2 linked regions of the Macaca fascicularis genome follow. The protein of the gene in region 2 purifies or fractionates together with the protein of the main gene of each other region. This does not show direct contact. Links are inferred from orthologs where the notes say so. Each region holds a gene or a part of one and is shown on either strand. Other genes may lie near its edges.

Region 1 (3,567 bases), on a different chromosome or scaffold from region 2:
TGTAGTGCCCAGGGCTGTTCAATGCGCCTGCAATTAAACCAAGGAGATAGGACCATATTAAAATGGAGGGGAGGGGAATCTAAAATATGTCATTTTAGCATTGTATCCAAGGGACAAAAATCTGATAAGCAGGAAGGCTAAAGGGTTTCCAGTGTGACTAAAACAAGAAATATGTTCCAGTTCTAAAATTTTTTTTCCAGTGGACTTATCACTGTACAAGGAAATCTACACAAGCCAACAAAAAATCTATAGAGCACAGGAAAAACATGGGGAAATGAGTTGGCAATTTTTCCTTACCACCCCACATTTGTTCTCAATAATTGCAGTCTAAAAGTATTGTTCATTGAATTAAAGCTTCTCTCAAATGTGCTTCCAAGGCATTTAAACCATTTATTTCATATCCTACTCAAGTCATTCAGACAAGAGACCTAATCGTCTTCCCACATTTCCATTATTTAAGACAAAAGGAAACTAGATTTAAACCTATTAGTCATTCACAAAATCTATTACTACACGTATTTAACTGGTGACAACTTGGTGTAAAGGGCAAACAGAAATGTCTCAATCTGCTGAAAATTACTTCTGACTAGGGTCAATCATGAATATTTAACTATAATACCAACCAACCAGTCTACTTTTCCAGCTGTTTGCAATTTTAATGAAGTCTCATACGCCCTCTGTTGGTTCTCTAGCATATCTTACAACCAGAATAGGTCAAGGGTTCTCACTGATCTATTTTAACATGGAAGGTCAGAATGTTATCTTGCAACCAGTGCACTACATTCCTTTTATAATGGAAAATAAGGCATATTTAATTTTGCATATGCAAATCACCACAGACACGATTATAAATGTTTTATAATTCATTTTTAAAAAAATTCATACCACGAACAGGGCAAGTACATTAAATCAAAACAAAAAAAACAAACATTCAAGTCTACGCAAACTAGACACATGCAATTTGAGCAGGGAGAAAGTTTTTTTTAAAATAACTTTACTCACTTTTTCTATACTTGCTTGCATTTTTGCTTTAATGTCTTCTACAGAACTAGGTCCTTTTGGTGTTTTAGGAGTTTTTTCCTGTTTTTTGAAGGATTCTTGTCCCTGAAAAGGAAATGAACTTCCAAAAGGTCATAAGAATAAATACAACTCCTAATTTAAAACCCATTCTATCTGGATTTCCTCAAATAGTCTTACAAAACTCCCTTATAAAGCTAATTATACAACTGGAATTATCAATAAATTCACACCATACAATTTTGTTCTTAAAAATCTTTCTTGTAAGATTAGCTAGGCATGGTTGTGCATGCCTGTAATCCCAGCTACTCAGGAGGCTAAAGCGGGAAGATTGCTTGAGCCCAGCAGCTGGAGGCTGTAGAGAGAGCTATGATCATACCACTGTACTCCCAACTGGGCAAGAGTAGGACACCCGTCTTTTTTTTAAAAAAAAAAAAAAAAAAAAAAAGGAGTAACTTGGGAGTTCGCTTTTTAATGCACAATACTCAGTTCAAAAAATGAAATCAGGCCGGGCGCGGTGGCTCAAGCCTGTAATCCCAGCACTTTGGGAGGCCGAGGCGGGTGGATCACGAGGTCAGGAGATCGAGACCATCCTGGCTAACATGGTGAAACCCCGTCTCTACTAAAAATACAAAAAATTAGCCGGGCGTGGTGGCGGGCGCCTGTAGTCCCAGCTACTCGGAGGCTGAGGCGGGAGAATGGCGTGAACCCGGGAGGTAGAGCTTGCAGTGAGCCGAGATCGCGCCACTGCACTCCAGCCTGGGCGACAGAGCGAGACTCCGTCTCAAAAAAAAAAAAAAAAAAAAAAAATGAAATCAGAAGATCCCTGAGAATAAAGCAAGAAAGTCATTGCAGTCTGATGCCTGGGGCCCACCCCAGACCAATTTCATGATAATCTCCATAAGCAGAGCACAGTGTTGGGTTCTTTTAAAGTTTTTCTCCTTTAAATTCCATTTTCTGCAGGGAAGGGGGTAAGGCCAGAAAGGAGACCATCACACCCTGTCTGGCCCTAAATGTTCTACTTCAATCTAATATGCAGCCAAGGTTGAGAATCTCTACTCTATGCAGGTATACTTTTCAACAAAGATTCCTTACAGGAAACAACTATTGACTTCACAATCATAAAAAATTCAAGCCAGGCGTGGTGGCTCACGCCTATAATCTCAGCACTCTGGGAGGCCCAGGAGGGCAGATCACCTGCAGTCAGGAGTTCAAGACCAGCCTGGCCAACGTATATAGTGAAACCCCACCTCTACTCAAAAATACAAAAATAAGCTGGGCCTGGTGGCACACACGTGTAGTCCTAGCTACTTGAGAAGCTGAGGGAGGAGAATCGCTTGAACCCGGGAAGTGAAAGTTGCAGCAAGCCGAGATCATGCAGCTCTAACCCAGACTCACTGACAAAGCGAGGGTCCGTCTCTCTCAAAAAAGTCTATTGGTTCCCCCCGCCACTGGAACCCCAGCAGCACATTACTTAGTATGTTTGTCTGTGTGTACCTGTAACACATAACAAGCTGATTTTTTTTTTTTTTTTTGGAGGCAGAGTCTGACTCTTTCGCCCAAGCTGGAGTGCAGTGGTACAATCACTGCAACCTCCGCCTCCTGAGTAGGTGGAATTACAGGAACATACCACCATGCCTGGCTAATTTTTGTGTTTTTAGTAAGGATGGGGTTTCACGATGTTGGCCAGGCTAGTCTCAAACTCCTGACCTCAGGTGATCCCACCAACCTTAGCCTCCCTCCCAAAGTGCTGGGATTACAGGAGTAAGCCACTGCGCCCGGCAGCAGCAAGCTGATTTAAACTTTAAAACAGCAATTACAGGGGTTCTATAAAGGCCTATGAAATTTCAGACACACTAGATTCTTCCACAACAGTAGAATCTTTTTTCCCCGACTATATCAATGAGACCCATATGTAAATGTAACCACTTACTTTTGATCTTGGTGTTGATGATGGTTTTGAGTCTTTTCCATTCTGATTTGACTTTTGTGCATTTTTGGCTGGAGTATCTCGTATAGACTGCAATTAGAAATTTATCTTAATCACTGTCCCTGACCCCAGCAACAGTGCAAACAGTACTGTCCAAGCCATGTAAGAAAAGCAGCAACCACAGGCTGGGCGCAGTGGCTCACGCCTGTAATCCCAGGACTTTGGGAGGCCGAGGCAAGTAGATCATGAGGTCAGGAGTTCAAGACCTGCCTGGCCAACATGGTGAAACTCCATCTCTACTAAAAATGCAAAAATTAGCTGGGTGTGGTGGCCTGAGTCTGTAATTCCAGCTACTCAGGAGGCTGAGGCAGGAGAATCGCTTCAACCTGGGAGGCAGAGGTTGCAGTGAGCCGAGATTGCGCCACTGTACTCCAGTCTGGGTGACAGACTCCGTCTCAAAAAAAAAAGAAAAAAAGAAAAGAAAAAGCAGCAACCACTTGAATAAAAGGTTACACAAGACTAACAAATTGGGTGGAGGGCTACATGGATAAAGAAAACAGACCATTCCCCACTATAAGTTTTCTGTAGTCCTCCTCAGAACTAATTTTCAGTATGAGATG
Region 2 (3,567 bases):
TGGGACCCCAAGGCAAGAGAGCCCCACGGCCCCAGGAGGCTCCTGTCTGCACCCCAGGGTTTCCTGAGGAAACTGACGCCCTGCCCAGTGGCCACTGCAGCCCCCATCCTGGTTCCTCCTGGTCCTCACACACGACCCCACAATCCCAGAGCCCCCCACACCCCCTCATGTGGCCACCCCCACCAAGGCCCCACAGCCAAGGATGAAGAAGCTTGCAGGCAGCTGTCGGCCGCTTCCTTCCAGGCTGCCAGGCCGCAGATGGTGGACAACGGCCAGACTCAGTCATAGCCCCCCATTCCCTCTGGTCTTTCTTTCACAGGCCGTGCTCCCCAGCCCCGCCGGTCCCCATCCTTACCATGGAGTTGAGGTTGAGGGGAGACCCCGAAGGTTGTGTGAAAAGGCCAGCGACGGACGGCAGGGCTCGGCGCTTGGGGGACACGCCTGCGCTCAAGCTGGGCGTCCCCGTCGATGCTCGCTTCCGCCGCCCACGCTTGCGGCTGTCCTGCCCGTGGCTCGGCACGCAGTCCCCACGGGAGCTGGCGGTCAGGGGGCTGTGCTTGCTGGAGGGCGACTGTCTGGCACTGCCCGCGCCCGCGGCGATGGTGAACACGATCCTCCTCTTGGCCTCACTCTCAGGATCTGAGAAACCGGAGTCTGAGGGCAAGTCCCCCTTGCTGGCCTCGGGGAGCGGGCCCTGGGCAGCCCCACCAAGCCGGGGGCTGGAGGAGAGCTGGTGGGCGGGAGAGGCCGGGAGCGAGTTCCGGGGCTGTGCCAGCAGCAGGGGGTGCTGTGGTGTGGAGCTGCGGGACCCCACGGTGGCAAAAAGGCTCCCAGAGCTGGAGGACTCATCCAAGGTGGCCGGCTCGGCTCCAGGTGTGAGGGAGGCCGGGCTGCCCGCCAAGGCCCCGCTGATGGCCACCGAGCCAGCATAGGAGAAGCCTGTCAGGAAGGACATGGGGGTGTCAGGGAACACAGGACGGGCTCAGTCCACAGGGGCGGATGCTGGGCCCCACTGCGCCAAAGAAAAAGCCAGGCTGTGGGAGCACCACCCTCCAGGAGCTCTGTGGGCTCCAGGAGAGGCGGGGAAGTGGGCAGCAGGGCTGGAGTCTGAAAACAGCCCCTCTGGGGTGGAACCAGAAGGCTCTGTGGGCAAGCTCAGGGCTCAGGATTGACCCTGTGCCTCATGCCGCCATCTGGGCTGCCTGTGTCCTGCAGGTCCCGGCTGAGATGCTGCCTCCCAAGAAGCCTCCTGGTGCGGGCTCCCCGCTGAGCTGGGCTTCCTCTGAATAAGTTGCTCTCTGGCCCCGTGATCTCAGAGACACCATGAGGAAAGCCCAAGGCTGAGGGGCCTCCCTCCCACCTGTTCTCAGAGGACAACTCAGCTTGAACGCTCCAAGCTATGGCCACCCTGGAGGCTGCGGCCGCACTTCCCAGCCCACGATGAGTGGTGCACTTCCATGACCACCCAAGGACAAAGGGCAGCTTCTCTGCTTCTGCCAATGAGGCCTCAGTGCAGGGGCGCGGTGAGGCGCTTCTGGAGTTGGCTGTTTGCCACCCAGTTGAAAACCTCCCGAAACTGTCACTGCCTCTTGCAAAGCAGACCTCATCCCAAGGGCACAACCCAACCCTGTGAGGGCAGAGCTGCCCAGGCTTCGGCGGCCTCTCCGGGGCCCTCACGTGGCCAACTGTGAAGCCTGCCCAGCCTCCCTAGAGCCTCCTATCTCAAAGGCGGCACTTTACTCGTGTTGTTTTGTTTGTGAGATGGAGTTGTATTCTTTTTGCTCAGGCTGGAGTGCCGTGGCGCGATCTCAGCTCACTGCAACCTCTACCTCCCAGGATCAAGTGATTCTCGTGCCTCAGCCTCCCGAGTGGCTGGGATTACAGAAGCCCGCCACCACACCCGGCTAATTTTTGTACTCTTAGGAGAGACGGGGTTTCACTATGTTGGCCAGGTTGGTCTCGAACTCCTGTCCTCAGGTGATCCACCCTCCTCGGCCTCCCAGGGTGCTGGGGTTACAGGAGTCAGCCACCGCGCCCGGCCATTTTACTTTTTACTCCTAAAGTAGTAGCGGCCACATCACACCACGTGTCAACACGGGCCAGCAAACCAGCCTGGGGTCTGGCGCCCTGCGCTGTTGTAAGTCGAGTGTTACTGGCACACAGCCATGCTTGCCGACATGCCGTCTCTGCGGCTTCCACAACAGACCGGCCTGCAGTGTCGACAAAAGCCAAAGCAGCGTCCTCTCTGGCTCTTTGCAGAAACTGGGCTAACAGCAGTCTGGTCAGGCTTCTGAAGAAACCAGAAACCACGCCGCTACTAGCATGGAGGCCCACGGTCATGTGCCATTGGGCACTGCTGTGTGTGGAACTGATCCTGAGTCAGGCTGTGAGTAGAGGAGCCCCGGACAGCGCTGGGGCCGACCTCACGGGCTGAATTAGTACACCCAAGCACAAGGTGTCAGTGTTGGGAGACGCAGGCACTAGGCCGCGATGGCTGCAGCTGAGCCCGATCCGCAACCCAGCCGGTGGGATGCAGGAAAGGGTGTCAGTAACGAGGCCTGGTGGTTCGGGGCAGCAGCCCCCATGATCACCCCAGGAAGCCGTGTTGCATTCCCAGCACCCCGGCCTCCTGCCTGAAGAGCAGCCGCAGCGAAGTCCTGAAGGCAGGCACAGGAGGGGCGTTACCTGCGGGGGCCAGGGCAAGGCTTCTGCTCCCAGCGCCGTGGGCATTAGCACCAATCTGCTTTTCAAGTGTGGACGAGGGGTCGCGGGGCTGCAGCACAGGACTGGGGGTGCTCCTCTGCAGAGAGAAAACCTCATGTCAGGGGCGAGACCCAGAACCCAATTGGAAATAGTGAGTGTGGAGGGCTGCAGCTGGCTGGGTCACCATCCAGTCCAGGATGGGAAGAGGGCAGTGGGGGAACTGCAGTGGGGCCCCGGGCAGGTGGCGCAGCGAGGGTGGGCAGTGCGTGTGTGTGGATGAGGCAGCGGGCCTAAGGCAGGGAGGTCAGGAGGCGGGAGTCCTGGGGTCCGGCGGTGGGGAGGGGGTACTGGGCACCACTCAAACCACCCACAGCCCACCCTCAACAGGGAAAGTGGCTGTTCTCTGAGTAGCACGGACAAATGTCAGCAGTCGCGTGGGGGCGCTCACAAGACCACACCCGCCGGCCACCACCCCCGCACTTCCCCACACCACACTCCAAGTCCAACAAAGGTCAGTAGTGACCACAGAACCCAAAGAGCAAACCTACATCCACACGGAAACCTGGACCCAGCGCTCACAGCAGAATGATTCACAATCGCCAAAACGGGGAGTCAAGCCGGGGCCCATCAACTGAGCATGATGAAGACGGCACACTCCGCCCACCCAGAGAATGCCCTCACGTGCCAAGAGGAGGGACAGGCCCGGACACGAGTGTGTTCGGGGTCCCGGGGGCTGGGGGACGGCTAGGGAGTGACTGCTGACGGGGGCAACACTTCTGGGGTGAAGAAAATGTCCTGAATTAGACTGAGGTGTATAAAAATACGAAAAAACCGACCGGGCACGGGGGTTCATGCCTGGAATCC

What was found. Proteins that work in one complex are often made in the same cells at the same time.
Region 1: the proteins of DOT1L (region 2) and NPM1 purify together in Homo sapiens (affinity purification with mass spectrometry; 3 studies listed by BioGRID and IntAct, with this or other methods). This does not show direct contact. The link is inferred for Macaca fascicularis from reciprocal best matches to the Homo sapiens genes DOT1L and NPM1.

The regions. Positions count from the first base shown.
Region 1 is NC_088380.1:178,197,186-178,200,752, reverse strand, and holds part of NPM1 (nucleophosmin), read right to left. Parts: intron 3,038-3,567; coding exon 2,951-3,037; intron 1,121-2,950; exon of another isoform or gene 1,105-1,120; coding exon 1,003-1,104; intron 28-1,002; exon of another isoform or gene 1-27. UniProt on the Homo sapiens protein: Involved in diverse cellular processes such as ribosome biogenesis, centrosome duplication, protein chaperoning, histone assembly, cell proliferation, and regulation of tumor suppressors p53/TP53 and ARF.
Region 2 is NC_088393.1:2,876,591-2,880,157, reverse strand, and holds part of DOT1L (histone-lysine N-methyltransferase, H3 lysine-79 specific), read right to left. Parts: intron 2,801-3,567; coding exon 2,686-2,800; intron 940-2,685; coding exon 356-939; intron 1-355. UniProt on the Homo sapiens protein: Histone methyltransferase. Methylates 'Lys-79' of histone H3. Nucleosomes are preferred as substrate compared to free histones. Binds to DNA.